2 linked regions of the Callithrix jacchus genome follow. The protein of the gene in region 1 binds, or shares a complex with, the protein of each later gene. Links are inferred from orthologs where the notes say so. Each region holds a gene or a part of one and is shown in the gene's direction. Other genes may lie near its edges.

Evidence for each region.
Region 2: YEATS2 (region 1) and MBIP share a complex: the UniProt entries of both Homo sapiens proteins name them as parts of the ADA2A-containing complex. The link is inferred for Callithrix jacchus from reciprocal best matches to the Homo sapiens genes YEATS2 and MBIP.

What each region holds. Positions count from the first base shown.
Region 1 is NC_133516.1:12,788,691-12,795,927, forward strand, and holds part of YEATS2 (YEATS domain-containing protein 2), read left to right. Parts: intron 1-765; coding exon 766-1,024; intron 1,025-1,993; coding exon 1,994-2,155; intron 2,156-3,959; coding exon 3,960-4,186; intron 4,187-5,597; coding exon 5,598-5,756; intron 5,757-7,237. UniProt on the Homo sapiens protein: Chromatin reader component of the ATAC complex, a complex with histone acetyltransferase activity on histones H3 and H4. YEATS2 specifically recognizes and binds histone H3 crotonylated at 'Lys-27' (H3K27cr).
Region 2 is NC_133509.1:70,908,183-70,916,093, reverse strand, and holds the start of MBIP (MAP3K12-binding inhibitory protein 1), read left to right. Parts: upstream 1-2,913; 5' UTR 2,914-2,932; coding exon 2,933-3,061; intron 3,062-6,736; coding exon 6,737-6,856; intron 6,857-7,911. UniProt on the Homo sapiens protein: Inhibits the MAP3K12 activity to induce the activation of the JNK/SAPK pathway. Component of the ATAC complex, a complex with histone acetyltransferase activity on histones H3 and H4.

The sequences.
Region 1 (7,237 bases):
CCTGAGTATTTTCTCTAAAGAGTTTACTTTCAGAACTAGATACTTCTAATTTTCATTTTCATTATTTGGATATTGAGGTCTTTTTTAAATAAAAAAAATCAGTTAAATATTCCTGCCTTTTTTTTTTTTTTTCCCTTGAGACAGGGTCTTGTTCTGTCTCCCAGGCTGGAGTGCAGTGGCACGGTCCTGGCTCACTGTAACCTCCGCCTCCCAGATTCAAGTGATTCTCCCACCTCAGCCTCCAGAGTAGCTGGGACGATAGGTCTGTGCCACCGCACCCAGCTAATTTTTGTATTTTTAGTAGAGACGGGATTTTACTATGTTGGTCAGGCTGGTCTCGAACTGCTGACCTCAAGTGATCTGCCTGCCTCAGCCTCCCAAAGTGCTGGGATTACAGACATGAGCCACTGTGCCCGGTCTCAAGTGTGTGTGAAAGAATTGGAAGTAGATACATTGGAAATATTAGGAGATTATTTCTGAATGAGTAGAACTTTTTTCTTTATACTTCTGAGTTTCCCAAATTTTCTATTAAAGTAAGTCATAAAAAGTAGCTGAGGTAAGACAACAGTTGTTAAGCTTCTGTTATTATAATACCCGAGTGTAAGAAATACATTTGCCGTTCACACCCGTCTAGTTAGCTTTCCTAGATGACCGGATTAGGCTGCATGTATTATGTGCAGGCCTTGGCTTTGCTCTTTGCCAAAACAGTGACTGCTGTTCTAAGAACTCTCAAGGCTCCGTTGGACTGTGCTTTGTTTTGGACAGGTTGTTGGAGTACCGGTTGGGTCTGCTTTACCCTCAGCAGTGAAGCAGGCTGTGGCGATCAGCGGTGGCCAGATCCTGGTAGCCAAGGCCAGCTCCTCTGTCTCCAAAGCAGTTGGTCCAAAGCAGGTTGTGACCCAAGGAGTCGCAAAAGCAATTGTGAGTGGAGGTGGAGGAACAATTGTTGCTCAGCCCGTGCAGACCTTAACCAAGGCTCAGGTCACTGCCGCTGGTCCTCAGAAGAGTGGATCCCAGGGTTCAGGTAAAATGGCTCCTCATTGGGAGCTCTTTCAGCAGTAGCTCTGTCCGATGTCCTTTGCTAGTGATTTTATTTGCTATTTGATGTTCCCTAGGAAAGCCTAGTTAGGTCGATGCTATAAGATGTGTATTAAAATGTTTGTTCTTTTTCATGGGACATTTTACATGAAGGTCTGTATTTAGCTTTAAGTTTCTACACATACACACACACACACTCCATTTCTCAGTACTGTGGGGGACTGGTTCCAGGACCCCCTGCTGCTGATAGCAAAGTCCACAGATGCTTGAGTTCCCTCTGTAAAATGCTGTAGTGTACTTCTCATCATCTCTAGGTTATTTTAATATCTAATAACAATGTAAATGCTATGTAAATAGTTATTACATTGTATTGTTTAAGGAATAATGATAAGGAAAAAAATCTGTACCTGTTCAGTACAGATGTACTCATCCTTTTGTCTCCCAAATATATGAATATTTTTGATTTGAGGTAGGTTACATCCATGGATGTGAAATCCACAAATACAGAGGGCTAACTGTACTTGCCAGTTAGGAGCACAAATTTTGCCTAACTTTGACTTAAATGGGGGAAAATATGTATTCCCCCATAAGTAGGGTGATTATTTCATTAATCAAGCCACAGTACTTTTGAGAGTAAAAAGAGTCACTGTTAATATATTACAATGGGACAGGTGTAACCTAGAACAGCCCTAGGCAGAAGCAGGACATATGATCACCCTATTTATATTCAGATATAAAGAGCCTCCAGCAGGCTCTTTCGGCTGTAAATTATTTTCTAATTAGCAAGATATTTAAGAATATCAGCCTTTAAAGCATTGTGCATCTGGAAAACAAACGAGTTTACTGTTTGTTAGTGGTCTAAAATAAGATTCTATTGCCTCATATTTTAATTTTAGAGAGAGTGTTGCCCTTAGTTTCAATATATCTTACCATTTTTTCTCCTTTACCATTTTAGTAATGGCAACGTTGCAGCTGCCAGCCACTAATTTGGCCAACTTGGCAAATTTACCTCCTGGCACTAAACTCTACCTAACTACAAACAGCAAGAACCCTTCAGGAAAAGGAAAGCTGCTGCTGATCCCTCAAGGAGCCATCCTGCGGGCTACGAACCATGCTAGTTAGTGAAACCATTGGGTTGAATCATTTGACTCTTGGTTCTCTGTATGTTCATCCTGTCTACCTGAGGGCAGTTCTTTCTTTTTCAGGAAGCATTTCTGTAACTCTTTTGGATGGTATAATGGTAGCATTTGCCCATATGGATTTAACAGAAGTGATAATTTAACCAGAAGTGGGTTTGCTTCTCGGAGTTTGGGGTTAGGGATGAATCACACTGGAGAGAGATGGCTCATGAGGCTGTTGAGAGAAAGCTGTCTACGCGCACTGTGAATGAAATGGTGTCTGAAAAGTCAATCTGGTGAGAGCTGAGGAAAGATCCATCTACTTACAGAAGCTGGAAGTCTATTTTGGGGGATAAGTTGGCAGAGGATTGGAATCACATGTGTCCATTTGGCTTCACTTAGATCAGGGGTCCCCAACCCCAGGGCTGCACAGCAGGAGGTGAGCTGTGGGTAAGGGAGCATCACTGCCTGAGCTCGGCCTCCCATCAGATCATGGCAGCATTAGATTCTCATAGAGGCGTGAACCCTGTTGTGAGCTGCACGCTCCTTGCTCTTTATGAGAATCTAATGCCTGACGATCTGAGGTGGAACCGTTTCATCCTAAAACCACCCCCCACCTCCTGCCCCAGTTCATGGAAAAATTGTCTTCCATGAAACTGGTCCCTGGTGCCACAAAGCTTGGGGACAGCTGGTTTGGATGTATTCCTTACTTCTAGGTTTGGAGACGGGAAGAGAAACATAGATTCTACCAAGGTGTGTCTGTCTTAAAGCCCCGTGGAAATGAGGAGGCAGTTCATCTACCGTTACAGAAAATTTTGCTTTGACAGAGAGAGAAAAACAATTTGGGCAGTCTTGAAAAGGATAAGATATAAGGAAATTATTTCCTTCTGAATTAGAAGTAGAAGAGTACAGCAGTCAGAGTCATTAGAAGTTAACCACTCTTGCCAAAATGCAGTGTGTCAGCTAATCGTCCTTGCGTTCATTGACTGTGATGGGTTGTTTCCATGCTCACTTTGATTATTTTTTCCTCATACCTACGCAGTGATATGTCCAAAAGTTAAACATATAAGAAAAGGACAATGTAAATATTTCAAAAGTCATCCAGTGAGCTACTTAGATTCTTGTGATATCCTTGGGATGAAAATAAACCATCAGGAAGGAAGCTTTTCCAATAATCACTGGAATGAAGGTGGAGAAGGAAATTGTTAGTATTTGTTGAGTGAATATTCATAGTCCAGGTAGTTTATATGCGTTATCTCACCAAAAGAGAAGTAAAAAGAATTGAAGGCTTTGAGGTGGAATTTGAAAGGCAAAGAAGAATGGGGTCCTGGAGTCATTGTAAATGAAGGAAACTCTTCATGTTTCCCAGGATGGGAGACTGCATCAAGCACTGTAAAGTTACGCTAAATTCCAGCCAGTCACTGACATCGAATGAGGTGCCCAAAAGTTGGGAAGCACCCACCTGAACACATTTAAGAGTTGATTAAAATACGTAGCTAGAAAATGTCAGTAGCAAGCCTTCTCTTGATCTCCCATGACCACGTCAAAATACCTTCATTGTACTCAGAGCCGAAATACAGTCAGCTGCCATTCCATTGAAAGGAAACAGATTTTGATCTAAAATCTAAGAAGTTCTCCTCACTCTTTTCGCAGGATAGGTAGATTACAGAAAAGAAGGAGGAAAATGAGAAAGGAGAAGGAATGACACTAAAAGGGAAACATCTGTCTGGGCTCATTTGTTTTTTCTGTTAAAACTTTACTGGATACTTTTTATGATGTTGCCGTCATTCATTGTATTTTTAGATCTCCAGTCTGGCTCAACTGCCAGTGGGGGGAGTGGTACCGGAGGAGGAGGAGGAAGCGGAGGCGGTGGCAGTGGTGGAGGCAGCAGTGGAGGAGGAGGAGCAGGAGGAGGAGGAGGAGCAGCAGGAGGAGGAACAGCAGGAGGAGGAACTCAGAGCACCACCGGCCCTGGAGGAATAGCTCAGCACCTGACTTACACATCTTACATCCTCAAGCAAACTCCCCAGGTCTGGTTATCTGTAACTGATATTTTAAATCATTTAGCTCTTTGATAATGACACTTAATTATAATTGATTTACCTTTACAGCTCTGGGATCAGGGTTCAATACTAACAATTTAGCCGTGTTATCTATATTTATGTCTTGGCCAGGTGCGGTAGCTCGTTCCTGTAATCCTAGCACTTTGAGAGGCTGAGGTGGGTGGATCGATTGAGCCCAGGAGTTTGAGACCAGCCTGGGCAACATGGCGAAACCCCATCTCTACTAAAAATACCAGAATTAGCTGGGGTGTAGTGGTGTGGGTCTGTAGTTTCAGCTACTCAGAAGGCTGACATGGGAGGATTGCTTGAACCCAGGAAGTGGACGCTGCAGTGAGCCGAGATTGCGCCACTGCACTTCAGCCTAGGTGACAGAATAAGAATCTAAAAAAAAATTAAAAATCTATTTCTTTTTTTGCTTGCTTTGAGAGAAGAGGAAATAGAGGTTGAGAAAGATTTTAGTAACGTATCCAGCATCTTCCTGCTAAGCTAATGGTAGAATTTGGGTTTAAGCCAGGTGTGGTGGCTCACTCCTGCATTCCCAGCACTTTGGGAGGCCAACGTGGGCGGATCACCTGAGGTTAGGAGTTCAAGACCAGCCTGGCCAACATGGTGAAATCCTGTCGACTAAAAATACACAAATCAGCTGGGCATGGTGCTGTGCACCTGTAATCCGAGCTACTCGGGAGGCTGAGGCAGAACAATCACTTGAACCTGGGAGGTGGAGGTTGCAGTGAGCTGAGATCAATCCATGGCACTCTAGCCTGGGCAACAGAGTGAGACACTGTCTCAAAAAAAAAGAAAGAATTTGGGTTTAAACCCTGATCTTTCTGCCTTAAAGAAAGATTTCTACTATGCTAATTGCCTCCCATATCCATGAGGTAATAAACAGTATTCATTTACAGTTGAAAAGTTGCTCATAGAAGGGAGTGATAAGGAGGCAGCATCAAGTTGTAATATTTAGAGTTAGGTTAGATTTGATGAGGAACGAGTTTCCTCCTTCTCTCCTCTTGTCGCTGAAGTCTTGGCTCTTTTCTAAGGAAAGTAATAGAATTTTGGTTCCGGATGTTCTTATTGAGAAAGGTAGATAGTTATCAGTCTGGATGATTAAATCCAGCTTTGAGGACTAAATCGCAAAACTAGAGTTTCCAGCAGGCTGCTCTGTAACTGTGGTGCAGAGTTTGAGAAGTGGGGAGAACTATTAGAAGAGACACTTAGAGCACAACTATTCTTTTGGATTATTTTGCCTACATTGCAGAATTAAAGGGGAGAGCGTTGTAGCTTGTAGCATGGAATGTTACGTGTGATTTAAGGGATCAGAACAGTGCATTTGAATTTAAGAAATTACTGCTTAGTTCTTTATATTTTCTTTCTAACTTAGGGCACATTTTTAGTTGGCCAGCCATCACCCCAGACTTCTGGAAAACAACTCACCACTGGGTCAGTGGTCCAAGGCACACTAGGAGTTAGCACATCTTCTGCACAAGGACAACAGACGCTGAAAGTCATCTCTGGACAGAAAACCACGTTGTTTACACAGGTAAATACACCCATGCACACACCCCAAATACCTGGTGATTGTGACATTTATTTATGTATTTACATGTAGTTTCTCTCTTTTCACAAGGAAATTAAGGTTGCATAAGGAAATGAACAATAAGGCTGGGCATGGTGGCTCATGCCTGTAATCCCAGCACTTTGGGAGGCTGAGGCGGGCGGATTGCCTGAGGTCAGGAGTTCGAGACCAGCCTGGCTAATGCAGTGAAACCCTGTCTCTACTAAAAATACAAAAAAATTAGCTGGGTGTGGTGGTGCATGCCTGTAGTCCCAGCTACTTGGGATGCTAAGGCAGGAGAATTGCTTCAACCCGGGAGATAGAGGTTGCAGTGAGCAAAGATCATGCCACTACAGCAGTGGCTCATTGAGGCCTGTAATCCCAGCACTTTGGGAGGCTGAGGCGGGCGGATCACCTGAGGTTGGGAGTTCAAGACCAGTCTGACCAACATGAAGAAATTCCATCTCTACTAAAAATGCAAAATTAGCCGGGTGTGGCGGCACGCGCCTGTAATCTCAGCTACTTTTGAGGCTGAGGCAGGAGCATTACTTGAGCCTGGGAGATGGAAATTGCGGTGAGCCGAGATTGTCATTGCACTCCAGCCAGGGCAACAAGAGCAAAACTCCATCTTAAAAAAAAAAAAAAAAAGAACAAAACACCAAATTATATAGAAAAACAAAGATCTTGAGGTTTGGGAAAATATAAGTAGAATGAGAAAATTAAGGCCACGGGGGTTATGCTGATAGGCAAACAGTGAAGATATCTTTCATAGTTAATAAAATCTAGGTATAAATTTGATAATGAAGGCAAAATAAGAAGCATGGTCAGTTTTAAAGTCACAGTATTTGTGAGAGTGAAACATGTATTTCTTTAAAAGAAATGAAGCTTTCTTGACGCTTTGTTGTAAAAATTTCTCCAGAGGGACTTCACATAGAAGATCCAGAATGGGCCAGTTTAAGCTGCAGTATCCAGACAGTGAGTGCTACAGTGGGCTTGGTTACATTTCTGTAGTATTCTTTAGCATAAGCCAGATAATGGCAAGGAATTTTAACTGGGTGAGGGATACCATCATCATTTATAGGAGGATCCTATACCTAGATCTCTGAATCATACAAATGAAACCAAAGCACAGAAGGATATATGCATACAACATGGTATCATTCATCAAAAATAATGCATTTTCTATGCCTATATGTAGATCAGAACATGGAAAGAATATTAGATTTTTGTCAGATGCTTTTTCTGGCTTTTCTTTTTTAGTTTGTTAATGTGGTGAATTGCGTTGATGGATTGATGGATGTTTCAAACGTTAAACCAGCCATACATTCCTGGGAGAAAGCCCACTTGGTTGTCATATATTACCCTTTATTAATACGTTATTGGATTTGATTTGATAAAAATCTTTAGAATTTTTGCAGGGGATATTGGTCAGTAGTTTCCTTAGTAATTGCTATCTGGTTTGGTAT
Region 2 (7,911 bases), on another chromosome or scaffold:
AATATTGGCAAGCCGATAGCAACAGCAAATCAAAAAACTTATTCATCATGATCAAGTAGGATTTATCCCGGGGATGCAAGGCTGGTTCAACATACGCAAGTCTATAAACATAATTCACCACATAAACAGAACCAAAAACAAAAACCACATGATTATCTCAATTGATGCAGAGAAGGCATTTGACAAAATTCAACAGCCTTTTATGCTAAAAACCCTCAATAAACTCGGTATCGATGGAACATATCTCAAAGTAATAAAAGCTATTTACGACAAACCAACAGCCAATATCATACTGAATGGGCAAAAACTGGAAGCATTCCCTTTGAAATCCGGCACTAGACAAGGATGCCCTCTCTCACCACTCCTACTCAATATAGTACTGGAAGTTCTAGCCAGAGCAATCAGGCAAGAAAAAGAAATAAAGGGTATTCAAATAGGAAAAGTGGAAGCCAAATTGTCACTCTTCGCAGACGACATGATAGTATGCCTAGAAGACCCCATCGCCTCAGCCCAAAAACTCCTGAAACTAATAAGCAACTTCAGCAAAGTCTCAGGATATAAAATCAATGTGCAAAAATCACAAGCATTCCTCTACACCAATAACAGACTTAAAGAGAGCCAAATCAAGAACGAACTGCCATTCACAATTGCTACAAAAAGAATAAAATACCTAGGAATACAACTCACAAGGAACGTAAGGGACCTCTTCAAGGAAAACTACAAACCACTGCTCAACGAAATCAGAGAGGACACAAACAAATGGAGAAACATTTCATGTTCATGGTTAGGAAGAATTAATATCGTGAAAATGGCTATACTGCCCAAAGTAATTTACAGAATCAACGCTATCCTCATCAAGCTACCATTGACTTTCTTCACAGAACTGGAAAAAACCACCATGAACTTCATATGGAACCAAAAGAGAGCCCGCATAGCCAAGTCAATTCTAAGCAAAAAGAACACAGCGGGGGGCATCACACTACCGGATTTCAAACTATACTACAAGGCTACAGTAATCAAAACAGCATGGTACTGGTACCAAAACAGAGATATAGAGCAATGGAACAAAACAGAGGTATCGGAGGCAACACAACATATCTACAACCATACAATCTTTGATAAACCTGACAAAAAACAAGCATTGGGGAAAGGATTCCCTATTTAATAAGTGGTGTTGGGAGAACTGGCTAGCCATGTGCAGAAAGCAGAAACTGGACCCCTTCCTGACACCTTACACCAAAATTAACTCCAGATGGATTAAAGACTTAAACATAAGACCTGGCACCATAAAAACCCTAGAAGGAAATCTAGGCAAAACCATCCAGGACATAGGAGTAGGCAAGGACTTCATGAACAAAACACCAAAAGCATTGGCAACAAAAGCCAAAATAGACAAATGGGACCTAATCAAACTCCACAGCTTCTCCACAGCAAAAGAAACAGTCACTAGAGTGAATTGGCAACCAAGAGAATGGGAAAAAATTTTTGCAGTCTACCCATCTGACAAAGGGCTGATATCCAGAATTTACAAAGAACTCAAACAGATTTACGGGAAAAAAACAAACAAGCCCATTCAAAAATGGGCAAAGGATATGAACAGACACTTTACAAAAGAAGACATATATGAAGCCAACAATCATATGAAAAAATGCTCATGGTCACTGGTCATCAGAGAGATGCAAATCAAAACCACATTGAGATACCATCTCACGCCAGTTAGAATGGCGATCATTAAAACATTTGGAGACAACAGATGCTGGAGAGGATGTGGAGAAACAGGAACACTTTTACACCTTTGGTGGGAGTGTAAATTAGTTCAACCATTGTGGAAGACAGTGTGGTGATTCCTCAAGGCTTTAGAAATAAAAATTCCAATTGACCCAGCAATCCCATTACTGGGTATATATCCAAAGGACTATAAATCGTTCTACTATAAGGACACATGCACACGAATGTTCATTGCAGCACTGTTTACAATAGCAAAGACCTGGAATCAACCCAAATGCCCATTGATAATAGACTGGATTGGAAAAATGTGGCACATATACACTATGGAATATTATGCAGCAATCAGAAATGATGAGTTTGTGTCGTTTGTAGGGACATGGATGAATCTGGAGAACATCATTCTCAGCAAACTGACACAAGAACAGAAAATGAAATACCGCATATTCTCACTCATAGACGGGTGATGAAAAATGAGAACACATGGACACAGGGAGGGGAGTACTAAACACTGGGGTCTATTGGGGGGAAAAGTGTAGGCCCAGCACGGGGGTGGGGGTGGAAGCTGGGGAGGGATAGCCTGGAGAGAAATGCCAAATGTGGGTGAAGGGGAGAAAGGAAGCAACACACACTGCCATGTGTGTACCTATGCAACTGTCTTTCACGTTCTGCACATGTACCCCAAAACCTAAAATGCAATAAAATATTAAAAAAAAAAAAAAGAAAAGATTGCAAAACCCCACAAGTATCTTTATAATAAAGTTATATAATACTTTGTAAAGTTTCAATTCGGTTTTATGTCCTTCTAATTTCAAAGATTGTGGTTGCATATTATTTATCCAGGTTAAATTCCTGTTGGAATGATACTGACAGTGTTTCACATAGTCCCCTACTACCAACATTCACAAGGAACATCCAGGAGTCAAGGTAAGCTTCATGATGCTAACCCTTAAGAGACCACGACTCTAATGACCACCCCAAAGACAGCATTCTAGCCTAGCTTTGGTCTGCAATTCACTTCAGAGCTTCGGGGCAATGCCACAGCTGCAACTGATTGGTGTACGTGCTTGTCAGTCACATACAGAGGGTGGAGCCTCAAAGCCCGGATATAAACGAGACGCCGTGTCGTACGTCATCACCGAGCGACTAAAGCGGAAAAGGGAGGGGGCGGGGCTGTGAGCAATCCTTGGCGGCCTGAGAAGGTGTCATGGCTGCTGCCACGGAGCTTACTCGCCCGAGTAGCGGTGACAGGAATGTGGAGCGAAGATGCAGCCCCAGCCTCTCCCGAGAGGTGCTCTGCGAAATCTTTCGCTCCCTGCACACCCTGGTTGGACAGGTGAGAAGTGGCCTCAGGGATTGAGGGTATGGAAACCATCCGGCCTCTCCCCCTCATTCTTTTCCTCTAGCGGAGGCCAGAGGCAGCGAGGCCTGCCAAGGTCTGAGGTGCGGCCCCTGAAGCCGAGGTCGGGGAGGAGCCCGGGCCGAGCCGTCTCAGTCGGAGTGAGGAGGATGGCGGTACCGGTTGCCAAGTGGTTTACCTTGCAGCTGTCCTCCCCAGCAGTGGGTGAGGATGGTTTAAGTGAAAACCCGGCCCCGAGAGGAGCAGACTTGGAGAGAATGAATGTGGAAAAGCTTAACTGCGGATTTATGAGGCGCCTCGCGCTCAGGCTCCTTTTTCTTCCAACTTACTCAATTACGGGAATTGGTTGGTCAGTAGGCCTGAGATTTATAGAAAAGCGCGCTTATTAGCTTTTTTCAGGGGCTAGAGGGAGTAATTTGTTCTTATGAGTCACTTGGTTTTGTTTATTTCTTCTTTCCTTCGGGCTGTTTTGTGCATCTATTACCCTTTTAAATGGAGAGGAAAGTAAAAGGAATTCATTTAAAATACTTCTAGCGTAAAGTTGGATGAGTTATCCCTCTTTGATGTTGTTTGCAATAGAACGGGCGTTATTTAACTATTATTAAACGGGCGTAGTTTAACTGGCTGATAAATCGCTTTTGCAGAAATGTGGTAAAATTGGTTTTAAATTTAAATGGACTTCTTATTCTCTGTGATCAAGTCACTGTTTCGTTTCATGGTGTAAAATTCAAAGCAGATTTTAAATGTGAAACAGTTTAAAATTATGCTTCTTCACCTGCTTATTAAAAGGAAATATTTTCTATCTTACATAGACCATTTTCTAGCCGTAAAAGTTTGTTTTGGAGCTGGTACTAGTGCCTGTGGACACAGCAGGCATTTGTGTCAAAGACAATGGTAAATTCCTATAAAAATAGAACATTTGTCTGATTTGTGAAAATTATTTTTTTAAAGCCTTGAGTAGATGGAGAATCAGTCTTTTAAAAAGTTACTAAAGTAGTTTTAAAAATCGTAGTATGTTGTGTCTTACAAAGAACATTACTGTAAGTTTAGCGGTTTTATGTAATGACGCAGTTGTTAATGAAATCTGCTAAAAGATACAACTTTTAAACTCAATTGTTTGCCAAGTACTTACCAAAAACATTTTTTTAAACACTTGGGGTCTTTTGTTATTAACATTGTAGTCTTAAGAACCAAAACCTCTAAATGGTTTAAAAGTTAGAGAACTTTTTATGGCGACGTCGGAACTTGTTTATTTTCTAATGTCAAGATAAAAAAAGTTTATGCTCACCTATTAACAGAAGATGGAATATTTAAAAAAAATATTGAGCAATGATTTAAACTTTTCTTTTGAAATATTTTGCATACTGAATTTTTCAAACTCATTAGAAAATTTTAATGATTCAAGTACGGTAAAGTACAATTAAAGAAATGATTACAGTTTACTTATGTCACTTGTCAAAAATGTTGACAGTAAATATTTGGTGACTTTACTGTGACACAGTGAAGGGACCTCCTACACAAGTGTCAAAAATATGATTGTTTCATCAATTAAATGTAAACCACTTTCAAAATACTCTGTATTTTGAGAAATGTTTTTTAAGAGTGAAAGCCAGAGTTCAATACTTATAAAATTGCCCCCCCGAGAAATCAGTATTTTCTTTTGCGACCAGTTTAAAGGATTTTTAAAATGTATGTTGTAACATACCTAACTTATCCTGTGTCATCCCTAAGTATCATTGTATTATTAGATCTCCTCAGTAGGAAACACAAAACTGAATGTTAAAAATAATTTTTTACTTCAGATCACAAAATTTACTAATTTTAACCTTTTTGCTTGCCTCTGGATGGCCCATCTTACCAAGCTGAACAATTACTTATTTTTAGCTTGGATTTTTGTATTAATTTAGTAAAGTTAATGAAACTACATATTTAAATAGTCTATATTAATAGCAGACTAATAGAGATTTTCAAGTGAATGGTTTACTCTTCCAAGTTCTGTAGGGCAAAATGCATAGGATTCATGTGACTAATAATGAATGTCTTGAATGAATAGTTAGATGAATTAGGATAGTTTTATAATTAATTTGTGACATTATGTGGTTTTCTTAAAAGACCAATTATTCTTAATTGCACTTGAAGGTTTATATAATTCTGCTGAATTGAAATGAGAATATGAACCAAACATTAAGACTTATTTTTCTATACGTTATTTTCTCTAGAAAAATGTGATACTTTGCTTTGGTTGAGGATTTGCCTGCTTTATCCCCAAGCTGTATTCATAAGTTTTCTATAATCGAGTATAGATCTCTTTGAAGACTACAAAAGTATATTAATGGGTTACTTCCATACATAATATGGGTTGTTGTGTAGCAAAATCTTTATAGGCATTAAAGTAATATAAATTAATGCATTAACTTTAAAGTCTTAATATGTTCTAATCTTTGCCAGTGCAGCCTACATGAAATTTCATATATCTTTACACTTGTTTAATATGGACTTTTAAATTCTTCTGTTCTTATCTTAAAAGGGCAGTAAATTTCTGTCACATAGTGTTTATTCAATATATTATCTTTTTATTGGTAACCTTACATCTTTTTGATCTTTGTACAGTGATTCATCTTTATAACTCCTAAAATCTGTATTTGAACTAACGTAACAACTTTATTTTGTAGAAAAGATGATGAATTTTGAATTAATTATGTAACTTGTTTCTTTTATGGAATATATTCTTATGCTATCCTGTAAACATATGTCCCTAGGAAAGTTTATGATAGTTCACTTTTATTCACTCAAAAGACTGCAGATGGGTGCTATCACTGTAAAATTTTCATTCATTTTGATAATAATCTTATATTCAGGTTCTTTGTAATTTTCTGGGTATGATTTTATTCTGTTAGATCACCAACTGATACAAATTTCCATATAATGAGCCCTCACATCTTACCATTTAGCAAAAGATCTGGCCATTTCATCCAGTCTGACAACTTATTTCACTATTGTGGAGAAGTCTTTGTTTTTCAGCTTCAGACTTCCATAGCTAACTAATAGTTTTTTATTTGAAATAAACATGTTGCCATTTATCCCTGCTTTTAGTATGTATGAGTAATCTTGACTTTTAAATTAGTTTAAAATTTGGTTAAAGGTGAAAACAATAACAATGTGATTTGGAGAACATCAGAATAGTGATATATATCTGGTATGTATTTGTGTACGTACTTAAAGAGAAAAATGCATGTTAAAACTTTCACAAAACAGTTGTGCTTCCTCTGTTTACGGCTCTGAGCTAGAAGTAGTAGGATTCTGAATAGGGTAAGCCTATTTTGGACTCCATCCAAAGGTTTGTAGATATTGAAGAATCAAAAGAGCCTTCATCTTTTCATCTTTCATGAATGGTTTCACCTCTAAAATGATCCCGTTACACAGACCCAAGAATAGAATTTGAATGACATGTCATTTTGTTTTTGTTTTTTATGAAAATCTGTAGCTTTCGTGGCCATTTAAAATGGTAACTAGGTAGAGCATTTCAGTGTAAAACTTGATAACTTTGAGCAAAATAGACACGTTACTCTTGAAATCCTTTATTTGTGACAATTCCATATGTACAGTTTAATCTTATAATTTTTGTGATGTTGCTGGTTTGCCTTTTTGAAGCTTAACCTCAGAGATGATGTGGTGAAAATTACAATCGATTGGAACAAGCTCCAAAGCTTTTCGGCATTCCAGCCTGCGTTGCTCTTTAGTGCACTTGAACAACACATTTTAGATTTACAGGTAAATTTCTTGTTAGAAATGATAACCCGATATTGAAAACAGAAATTAATTGTGGTTAAATTAGAGTATTTGTCAGTTCTAAACACTCTATTAATAGTGTTGCTAATAAAAGGTTATTTACATCCAGATTGGATCTAAATCTGTTAATTTCAGTAGTGATCAGGACAGTTAAGGGAATATAGCCCAAAAGACTAATGTGGGTATGAGAGTGAATGAATGCAGTTCTGTTCAATTCTAGACCTGCACTGAAAATTCAATACAGTTCCATCTATGGTGGGTTATAATTAAGCAATAAGACACGGCAGGTGTGTGTCATGCTATGATAATGATTCCATGCCTTGGGTGAGTTTGGAGGCTCATGGAGTGCTTTCAGTGGTTCAAGAAGGGGCATTATCCCAGCATGACACATCCTGGAGTGTCTATTGCAATTAAACAGTTTCAGCATAGTTTTTAAAAAGAAAGTAATTTCTGTGACATTAATGTCTCATCTTAGTAAGTAGCCAGTCACTGTTTTCTTTTTCTTAACAGTTTGAAATAATTTATTCTTTATATTAGAAGCTAATATTGAACTGGTATTTATAATAGCATTGTTATATTTTTAAGTATTTCATGTTATGACCTTGCTAGTTTGTAATTGAACATCTTTCCAATTATAATTGATGTAAGTTTGCAGTTTATCTCTAATTAAAGTGTAAAATGTAAAGTGTCAAAAAGATAAGTGGAAGAACTGTTTGGATTGGTCAGTTTACTGTGATTAAGATGTTATACGGTTTCAGGAGAGTATTTGGTATAGCAAACAAGGGAAGCAAAATTGTGGATATGAAAAAAATAATTGGAACGTTATTAGTGTTAGTGTGTTTTGACTAATGGAATAGGCATTAATTTTCAGCTCTCCATTTATTGACTTTGTGGGAAATTTTAACTGTTTCACGTTAAAAGTAATAGTTAACCCTGTTTTCAAAGGGCAGAGCAGTGAGCTATAGAACTCAAATGAGGCCTAATTGTGTGGAGTGGGGGAGGAGAACAGTAAATGGATAATATCATTTATATTCTAC